Caenorhabditis elegans: one gene and its partner. The protein of the gene in region 1 purifies or fractionates together with the protein of each later gene. This does not show direct contact. Each region holds a gene or a part of one and is shown on either strand. Other genes may lie near its edges. The genes, in order: C02F12.8 and Y54F10BM.3.

Region 1 (5,523 bases):
TCTTGCGAAATTGGGGGTGCGAGTTCTTTTATGATTTTAGTTTACCTTTTCTGTGAAATTTCTGCTACATTTTTACATTTTTTAGCACCTGTCGTACATTGAAAGCATTTGATAAGTTCCAGGATGATTGCTAGATTATATTTCCACATAGATTTCTGTTTTCTTCTCTACATTCTGAAACTTACTGCGAACATGCTAGTTTTTGTTTACATTTTACTATCACATATGTATAATAATTGGACCTATGACCGTCATTACCATTTTCCGTAACGGCCTTGCGCCCACCGTAACGCTCTGTTTCGTGCGCAATCACACGAGAATCCGTGAACATTTGTCATATGTTCATTGAGTTAAAAGAGTCCCATTGTTAGTCTAGAGCGTCAAAAATTAACTGCGCTAGTGCCTCTGGATGCCGTGTCGTCGTGTGAGCGCATGTGTGTGCGTGTTTGTGTGTTTGTGTTTTGTTGACGTGGGGGTGCAGTTGGCTATATGTGAGCGTGTGTGTGCGTGTGTGTGAGTGTTCTATGAGTGTGCGCGCGAACGAATGTAGGGGGGTTTTGTGTGCTGCGTGCGTGGCATCCGCCGAGGGGCCCTTTGCCCTGTCCAACGAGTCCTCTTCCTCACCATATTACCCACCCAGTTATTGTTGTGGGTGACGATAAACACTAAGCACCACCACCTGCGTGCGCGTCTTTTCACTTTCATTTGTTCACCTCAGTTTTCAACTTCGTTCCTCCTAATTTTTTTTCAATCAGATAATAGGTTAGAAATTAAAATTATGCACTGACCAAAATAGAAAAGCACTGACCAAAATAGAAAAGCACTGACCAAAATAGAAAAGCACTGACCAAAGTCGAAAAGCACTGACCAAATTAGTAATTGCACTGACCAAATCAGAATGCACTAACCAAATTAGAAATTCCACTGACAGAAATTGAGTCAGGTTTCCTTTTTTTTATCCTTGGGCAAAACTAAAACTTTTTTAGCTCTACTCATTGAATTTCCAACCAAAATTTTGCATGCCAACCGTGCAATTTATACATTGTGCTATTTTTTTCAATGGTACTCTTATATTCCCATTTTTCCACAATTGTAGTTACAAGCAAAAATTAAATCTATAGCTATGATATGAATCTAGCTATCTAGATACCTAGACATTATTTTTCGAGAGCCCCAACGCGATGCATGATTCTTTCAAAGTTTGAATTTCTCATAAAATTCTATGTTTTGAACTAACCATGTTACTTGGAATGCAATCTAGCTTCAAGAATTTGTTTTGATTTTTCCCAACAATTACTAGCAAAGGAAATTCAAAAATTATATAATTTTGTGTAAAATGCTCACAATGTTTTTTTGCGGTAACAAGAGTAGGTTAAAAACAAACAAATAGCTATAACATTTCTCTTTTTTATTTTAATTCAGCAAATCTTTTGATCTAGTTTTGAAATGTGACACCGCCAGCTTCTATTCGTTATAATTTTACTCATAAAATAAATAGTAAAACTGAATGTTGTAAGCACTAAATTATATGTTTTTTTTATTCGGTTTTTCCTACAATTTAAATTTTCAATTATTAACAGGCTCTCAATATTGCACCTATCAGTTGTTTTAAACTCTGACAAATTTTCATGTTAACTTTGTTCAGAAGCTATGCAAAACGATAGATCTCGCTGGAAAACCGAAGGACACTCGAGTGAAGTACATGAGGACTTTCTCAGGAATAGTGTTCAAAGAAGAAATCAATTGGAGAAGGTACATAATGTTTAGAGCGTTTGTATATTCTTATATATAATAATTTTTTACAGATTCTCTTTTCCTACAATAATCTTCATCGTCTGGATCCAAGTTACGGGGAAATCGTTCAAAGAGCTTTTGAATCAAATGATCCTATTGCGCTGTGGAATTTTGAGAATGAGGTTCTGTTGAACTCAAAAGACGTTGATGATCTCATGCAGCAACAGTTCGCCGCTCCCGTCCAAAATAATCAGTGCCCAAATCCTTATCAAAATTGCGGATATCAGAACAATTTGGTGAGCACGTTGGATGCTTCATTTAAGGTTTGTTTTTCAATTTGAAAAGTTTGTTCATGAGATATTGAGAATTTCCAATCTCAGGCAATTTGAAAGCTTATTTCGTTGATAATTTTTTGAAATGGGAATACTAGATTGCAATAAAAATTAAGCGAACGGCGAAACTAAAAGCTGACAATTAAACTTTTAATGATTTTAGAAACTCGTTGATTTAATGGAAAAAATCGGTTTTTTTTTCAATCGAGAGGAGTAAACAAGTTTTAATTTTTAGAAATGTAGTTTTTCACTGTTTAAAAACCCCAAGGCCATAAGAATTTCTTTAAAACTTTGAAACAATTGCAATTTTCAGGTACACCCATTTGCTCAACATGGTAATTACATGCCACCTCCGGCACAGTTTGCATCAAATCCAAACGTCTTTCCGCAACCTGTTCCTCCATACACTATGGATTTGGCAGCGTCGAATTCAGGATTTGCACACCCACAGATTGTAAACCAGCCTATGCATCCACACGTGCCTGTTGGTTCCCAGAATTACAATCCTCCCCAATTTGTGCCAGCTCCACCAACCATGATGCCAGTCGGAGCTGTAATGGTTTCGCAAGGATCGTATTCAATGTCACCACCTCAAATTGATACTTCAAAGCCACCTTCTGGATATGGATTCTCGTCTCCCATCTTTCCATCACCGTCTTACAGTCAATATTCTGGTCCACCTGCCAACGAAGGATTCCCAGACATTATTTATGATAACAATGGAGTTGCATATTGTCGAGTTGTCAGCGCACCTGTATGCGTCGTTTCCATGTCACAATCGGGATCATCAGTATGCTCATCACAATCGTTTTCTTCCGGACAGGTAATAAACAATATTATCGACTACAACAAAAACAACTTAACTGCTGCTTGGGTATGCCAGAATTTGAAAATTTGAACATGACCGCTTTTAGGGAAGTTATATGAAAAATTTAAAAGTTGGGAGATTAACTGGTTTGCATCTAAAACCATTTTAGTAACCCGCTTCTTGTCTGACCATGAATATCAGACACACTCCTAAATTTATGACAACTATCATTAAATGTTCCTGAAAGTGATAATGATCAAATGTTTAAACTTGAACACACTCACGCAGCACTTGACTAATTTATAATGCTATATTACAAAATGGTTTTTTCAGAGCGACATATCTATGTCCAGCAGACCGCCCATCAATGGATCTAGTGTTGGAAATGGTTCGTTATCACCCATGACTGATAGTGTCAGGGAAGAATCGGAAGACGAAGATTATGGAACGTTGACGCCTGTTGGTCAGCAAGATTGCGACTTGGATTCAGTAGACACGGAAAGTGTTGCAAATGAGCCAGAACCTTATAGCAGTACAATGTCTGAAATGCCACCATTAGATGATGTTGATGATATAATGGAGAACCTTGATCTTTCGAAAACACTGATTGAGCCGGAAACTTTGGAACACTCGGATAACATGAGCGTAGTTGAAATCAAATCTGAACCTGTATCTGAAATGACGACTGACTCGTTGATTGTTGATGATGACAGGGATACGTCAATATCTGAAATCATTAAGTATCTGGATACGTCGGATGACGTTTTGGAATCATGGCAGGAGGCGACGGGCAGGAAGAAATGGTGATTTTTTGATATTACTGCTAAAATGATAAATTCTGTAATTTTCAGTTTTGTACCACAGAAAACACAAAAACTCGTCTACCCGCTGCCATTGTCAAAAGTCGAAAAACCATTGCAAAAATGTCAGCAGACTTTGGCCGCTTCCACCATTGACGAGGATAGCAAAGAAGCATCAACTATTGCTCTACCCGACGCCAGGAAAAAGTTGACAAAAAAAGAAAAGCGCCTTATGGCTGCACAGAAGGCAAATCAATTGGAAACTGATGACGATGTACTGGAAGCAGCATATCGAGAAAGACAGAAGCATGTGGAGCAAGCTGGTGGTGACTACTCAAGCTCAGGACAGAAAGACCAAAGTGAGATTCATCATCGCCATTTGGTACTAATATTTTCAATTTCAGAAAAGAAGCGAGGAAAAAGACCCGTCTCGAATCCACCGCCATCGTTGATCAGTCCCCAAATCCTGCATGCAGTTCAAATGGCAATTGCTAACAGAGCAAAGAAGATTTCAGAATCGGGTCGTCCAATTTTTCACGAAAATTTCTCATATCAAAAATTCTATGAAACGGTGGATACTTTTGTGAAAACTTGGGAAGAAAATTCGAATGAAATGAACAAAGTGTTACAGTTTATTGAAAAACGCATTTTGGCATTCAAAATGGTGAGTTTTAATGAATTTTGGTACTTTTAAGTGTCTCAAACTGACTATTTACAGGTTCAACGTCCGCAAAGTCTCTCGCGTATTACAATCTACGAGCAACTTCAGCTGAACTTGCCGCCAGCTATTCTTCCGGAACTATGCTTTTTGGCCGGTCTCACCAGCGATTCTACTGACAAATTAGAGTATTACGAAGAAATTTTCTTCAACCTTTTCTAGATTCCGTTATTGTTTGTACACATTGTACCCAGTGATCAGATGTTTTAACTGTGATTAACCATGACCATTCAGTTGTATTTTTCAGTCCATTTAATTACGTGTCATTGTCTTCAATTTTAATTTATTGACTTTATGGGTAAATCAATTTATGTATTGAGATTTTTAGAATAAAAATGTCTAGTCTTGTATTTCTTCATCTTTTCAGAGGCTCTAACCAGTTTCAAACTTCTACCAATTTTAAATTCAAGTTTAGAAAGGGTTGAATAACTCAAGAGACGCGTTTTTGACTTCACAAACAAATTAGGCAAACTGGACAGACGGACATTATTATTTTGTTGATTATTTATTATTACCTCAAACATTTAATTCCCAAAATCAAAATCAAAATCAAAAAATCAAAAGAGATCGTGCTTAAGTGAAACTAGATGAAGAAGTTAAATATAGCTATTTTTGTCTACGAAATATTTTTGAAATTGAAACATTTTATCCAATCTGTATGTTTTGAAATTAGGCTGACGAAATCTTTTGAAAAAAAAAAACGCTATCGAAGAGGATACAACTTTTGCTCATTTTTTCCTTATGGCTTACAACAAATTGAAAAATTAAAGCAATAAATCTAAATTGATAGCCCCCTTAATCTATTTTTCAATCAATCCGTACACATTTCGGCAGCGTTATGCTCACCGTCATCACATTCATCGGGTCTTGTCAACGTATCCTATGTGCACTGCTGTGTGCGTACTCATTATCTGATATAGCAGTCTCGATGTTTCTCCCCCTCCCGGGTGAGTGGCACAACGTCCATTCGTATATCCACCGCCGGTGTTGAGTAGTATCATGTCGACTACAAGGCGCAACAGTTGGCTCTTCTATCCGGATCTCTTAGTCTCTTCTCTTGAACAGTTGCTCGTTCGGAAGTGTCCAGTCACTTCTACATCTCTCTTTCTGAATCACTCCTTGTCTATTATA
Region 2 (5,293 bases), on another chromosome or scaffold:
AATCCGGAAACGTAAAAAAATTTTTTTTTGAAAAATTTGGAAAAAAAATTTTTGGAACTTTTTTAAAAATTTTATAACTTTGTCAATTCTCAAGATTTTTGGCTCAAATTTGTTTTGAATAGTGCCCAAAATGTTTTCCTATACAATGTAATATTGTAGTTAACAAAAACCCGTAAAACTACAGTACCCCAATGCTTTTCGTGAGAAGACCCAAAAATTTTTTCGAAAAAATATTTGTTTTTCAAAACTTTATAACTTTGTCAATTTTCAAGATTTTTGACTCAAATTTATTTTTATTAAAGCTCTAAATATTTTTCTATGAAATCTGACAATAAAATTTAAAACAATTTATAAAACTACAGTACCACAACACTTTTCGTGGCGGGATCCAAAAATTTAACAAAAATTTTTTTTTGATTTTTTTTCAAAACTCCATAACTTTGTCAATTTTTAAGATTTTGAGCTCAAATTTATTTTGAATAGCGCTCTAAATGATTTTCTTTAAAATCTAGTACAGTAATTCATAGCAACTCATAAAACTACAGTACCAAAAGACTTTTTAAGGCGGGACCCAAAAAATTTTGAAAAAATTTTTTTTTCAATTTTTTCAAAACTCCATAACTTTGCCAATTTTCAAGATTCTGAGCCTAGATTAGTTTTAAATAGTACCCTCAATATTTTTCCATAAAATATAACATAGGAATTTACAAGAACCCGTAAAACTACAGTACCCCATAACTTTCCGTGTAGAGACCCAAAAAATTTTTGTTTTTTTTTTTGAAAAATTGGAAAAAAATTTTCAAAATTTTTTTTTTCAAACTTAAATTAATTTTACTGATTTTGTTGAAGTTTTTCGCTATATTAAAATTGATTTTAAAAAATCTGCACCCATTGCTTAGGTGCAAAATGTATCCCTCTACCCCTTTTCAGGTACACTAAGAATTCAGCGAATTCAGATTTGCCAAACATCAAAACAATGGAATTTTTCATTGTTTCTCACGTGTAGCAACTGATAAAAACTGATAAAAGATATCAAAATTGATCCTATGACGTCATCATGTCTTATGACGAATTCCACCCCCCGCTGACTGTGAGAAAAGTATTTAAAAACTTGATTTTTCAAGTTTTTCCCTAAAAACTTTTTACACTTTCTCTATGTAAAAGTTCAAAAAAACATGCGAAAAACTACAGTAACCTTATTATTTTTGATATTTTTTATTCAAATTTCTGAAATTCTGACTCTACCTATCAATTATGGTGCATCGTTGAACTCTGTACACTCGGATGACCTGAGTGCTGAGGATTATCAAGTTTTGAGGAAAAATGAGACAAAAATTGAGTAAGTTCATTGATTTTTTGCTAATAGAAAGGTTTTTGAAATTTTGGAAAAATTAAAAAAAAAATTTTTTTGAAAAAAACTTGTTTAAAAATAATAATTCCGCCAAATTATCGATTTTTTTGGTCGAAATCTCAAGTTTTAAATGTTTTCTTTAATTTTATTGAATTCAGCGTCATTGATTACCCCTATCCCAAAATTTTGGGCCTTCTAGCTCAATTTTCAAGAATTGGCTGAGTAGCGACCCATTGCGATACGGAGTTTGGTCAGTTTTAGTGCAAATGGCTAAAAATTTAGGATTCTGGGTTTCCAAGTATGGCAAATTTAATGATAATGTTAGTTTTTCAAAACTATGACTCCGTATCGCAGTTCTGAGTCGCTACTCAGCCAAATTTCAAAATTTTGAGATTTTGAGCTAGAGCTCTGAAAACCTATAGATAAGGGTAATCAATCACGCTGAATCCAAAAATAACTTCTAAAACCAAAAATTTTAATTTTTTCCAGAAGAATCCACAGAATTCAGCAATTTTTCAAAGCGGAGCACCACGAATCCACGTGGCGAGACTCGATTTGCAGTGCATTCCACTCGTTTTCACTGTTCCCGCCAAACTGCTTTGCGGCTCCGCCAAACGACAAATAAATCGATATTATTGATTTATGAAATGACATGATTTTTTTCTACGACGCACAATAAATTTTTGTGATTTTCTGATTTTTTTTGATTTTTTTTTGGGTCTCGTCACGAAAAGTTGTGGGGTACTGTAGTTTTTACCGGAATTTCTAAAATTTTTATTTTATCTTTTACGTGGGTAGTTTTCGCACATTTTAAGCCAAAAATGAACAAAATATCTCAAAAACTAAAAAAGTTACAAAATTTTTAAAAAATTGAATAAAAACGTAAAAACTCAAAAATTGCCAAAAAACATTCCACGTCGGGAACCACGTCGTTTGATTTTCGAAAGTCGATAAATCGATATTGAAAAATTTATTTCACAATATTCAAGATGAAATTGTGGTCGATTTTATTGGTGACCATATCGATTTTTGGCATCTGCCACGTGGAACCATATGAGCTAAGTAAGTACGGGGGTTTGACGCCAAGATACGGTTCGATTCTACAAAATTATCGGATTTTTCGGGAAATTATCGATTTTCTTGAGAAATTATCGATTTTCTGGCGGAAATATCGATTTTCTTGCTAAATTATCGATTTTCTTGCGAAATTATCGATTTTTTCGCGAAATTATCGATTTTTTCGGGAAATATTGATTTTCGGGAAATTATCGATTTTCTGGCGAAATTACCGATTTTTCGCGAAATATTGATTTTTTCGCGAAATATTGATTTTCGGGAAATTATCGATTTTTTCGCGAAATTATCGATTTTTCGCGGAATTATTGATTTTCTGGCGAAATTATCGATTTTCTTGCGAAAATATCGATTTTCTTGCGAAATTATCGATTTTTGGCGAAATTATTGATTTTCTTGCCAAATTATCGATTTTTCGCGAAATTATTGATTTTCTTGCGAAATTATCGATTTTCTCACGTGTCGAAAAGTTGCCCTTATTTTTTATTTCTGTCAAGAATGCAATTTCAGGATTTAATATAGGAAGAGGCAGATTTTCTTGCGAAATTATCGATTTTTTCGCGAAATTATCGATTTTTTTCCCGAAATTATTGATTTTCCAGGAAATTATCGATTTTTAAAAAATTATCGATTTTTAAAAAATTATCGATTTTTAAAAAATTATCGATTTTTAAAAAATTATCGATTTTTTGCGTAATTACTGATTTTCGATAAATTATCGATTTTTTCGCGAAATTATCGATTTTTGATATTTTCGATGAACACGTGGAGTTTGTTATTTATTTCTTTTTGAAAATGACGTGGAGAGGACGGTAAAAAAAAGCCACGTGGCCATTGCGATTGCGAAATTATCGATTTTTGATAATTTATCGATTATTCGCGAAATTATCGATTTTTCAACAAAAATTTATTGATTTTTTCCAGGTTTCGTCGATTGGCCTACACCCGCCCCGCCGACCTCAACAACTCCACCAGTGTAAGTCTATCCGTTGTCCCGTTAGTTTATCCCGATGACCGCTCTTTTTCAGATCCTCAACCAAACCACCACCTGCTGAACAGTTTAATTCGCTGACCGACATTCTCGACCTAATTCCAATCGAAGTGTAAGTTGTGAAAATTTGACATCGATAATTGCTCGGCGGCGAAAAATTGGTTTTTTTTTTTCGAAAAATCGATAATCTATGTTGATTTTATTGATTTTTTTGGTCGGATTTTTGAAGAAAAATCAATAATTTTTATTGATTTTTTGTTCAAAAAATCGATAACTTGCGTCATTTCTTTTATCGAAAATCAGTAATTTCGCAAAAAAATCGATAATTTCGCAAGAAAATCAATAATTTCGCAAGAAAATCGATAATTTCGCGAAAAAATCGATAATTTCGCAAGAAAATCGATAATTTCGCAAGAAAATCGATAATTTCGCAAGAAAATCGATAATTTTGCAAGAAAATCGATAATTTTGCAAGAAAATCGATAATTTCGCGAAAAAAATCGATAATTTCGCGAAATTATCGATTTTCTTGCGAAAAAATCAATAATTTCACGAAAAAGTCGATAATTTCGCGAAAAAAATCGATAATTTCGAAAGAAAATCGATAATTTCGCAAATTTTCTGTAATTTTTCAGCTGGCTTGTTGTACTTTTCCTGGAATCTGCGTTTGTTGGAGCATTTGGAGCATATTGCTACTGGAAAGTTCAACAATGGCGCGACGAGAAAATGGCAAGGGAAAAGGCTTGGGAAAGGCGTCTGGCACGAGTTTCTGAAGTTTCGGCTTCGAAAAATCGAAACGCTGGAGGTGTGGATCCTGCAAAAAGACCGAGAGAATCAGCCAAATGGCTGAAACATGTAAAGGAGGTGACGCTGAAACGGGGTGGAGTCGAGCTGCTGCCGATGGAGGATGTGATCGTGAAAAATAAAGAGGTAGAGATTTTTCCGAAAAAATTTGAAAATTTACGTGTCAAAAATCAAGGAAAAATCTTGAAAATGAACAAAGTTATGGGTTTTCGAAAAAAAAATTTTTTTTTGAAAATTTTTTTTGTAAAAAAATTTGTTTTTTCAGAAATTCAAAAAGCCACAAAATGAGCTTCGAGAAAATGAAGTGTGGGTGGAAAGACAAACGGGCCCTGATATTGATAAAGATTCGGACCCAAAGACGGAAAATGCATTGGATGAGCAGGATTATCAGCTGGAAGATGGATGGCACGGCAAGTCAGGTATGGTTTTAAAATCAGGTTTTAAGAAATTTTACTTTAAACATTGCAAGTTATTAAATTAAACATTAAACTCACAAAAAGATTGCGCTCATTTTAAGACTATATTCAATCGAATATCTTTAAAATTCGCAGAGTTATGTAGTTTTGAAAATAAAATTTGAAAATTTGAAATTTTTTTTTAAATTTTTATTTTCTTGAAAGCTCGAGCTAACTTTCAATTCAAAACCGATTTGGCGTGAATTTTCAGATTTAGCACGCCTAGAGCTTTCAAATAACACCCATCATGACTAGGTTTCGCCTGTTTTGGGTCCCCAAGTTTTCAAAGTGGACGGAGCTTAGTCAATATGGGTGTTAAATGGAAAGTCTTGACACGCTGAATTAAAAAATGAGCAAAAAATTGTAAAAATTTTTTATGTTTTCCAAAAATCTCAAAAAAAAATTTTTTTTTTTTTAATTTTTTTCTAAATTTTTAGACTTTTTTTGCACCAACTGAGAAATAATTAACAAATTCAAAATAATCACATTGAGACCTTTAAAATAAAACCCATCATGACTAGGTTCCGCACATTTTGGGTCCCGCCACGAAAATGCCGCCGGGAGTACTCTGGTTTTCGTGGTGGGACCCAAGAATTTGCAATTTTTAATCTGAAACGT

What was found.
Region 2: the proteins of C02F12.8 (region 1) and Y54F10BM.3 fractionate together in Caenorhabditis elegans (co-fractionation; one large-scale study listed by BioGRID). This does not show direct contact.

What each region holds. Positions count from the first base shown.
Region 1 is NC_003284.9:3,689,361-3,694,883, reverse strand, and holds C02F12.8 (uncharacterized protein), read left to right. Parts: upstream 1-1,645; 5' UTR 1,646-1,650; coding exon 1,651-1,752; intron 1,753-1,805; coding exon 1,806-2,057; intron 2,058-2,379; coding exon 2,380-2,889; intron 2,890-3,207; coding exon 3,208-3,677; intron 3,678-3,725; coding exon 3,726-4,033; intron 4,034-4,078; coding exon 4,079-4,338; intron 4,339-4,392; coding exon 4,393-4,554; 3' UTR 4,555-4,741; downstream 4,742-5,523.
Region 2 is NC_003281.10:2,279,746-2,285,038, forward strand, and holds the start of Y54F10BM.3 (Tyrosine-protein phosphatase domain-containing protein), read left to right. Parts: upstream 1-2,279; 5' UTR 2,280-2,340; coding exon 2,341-2,413; intron 2,414-3,349; coding exon 3,350-3,401; intron 3,402-3,453; coding exon 3,454-3,528; intron 3,529-4,051; coding exon 4,052-4,346; intron 4,347-4,485; coding exon 4,486-4,639; intron 4,640-5,293. Other genes in the region: Y54F10BM.22 (Neuropeptide-Like Protein), read left to right, coding at 1,176-1,339, 1,841-1,976.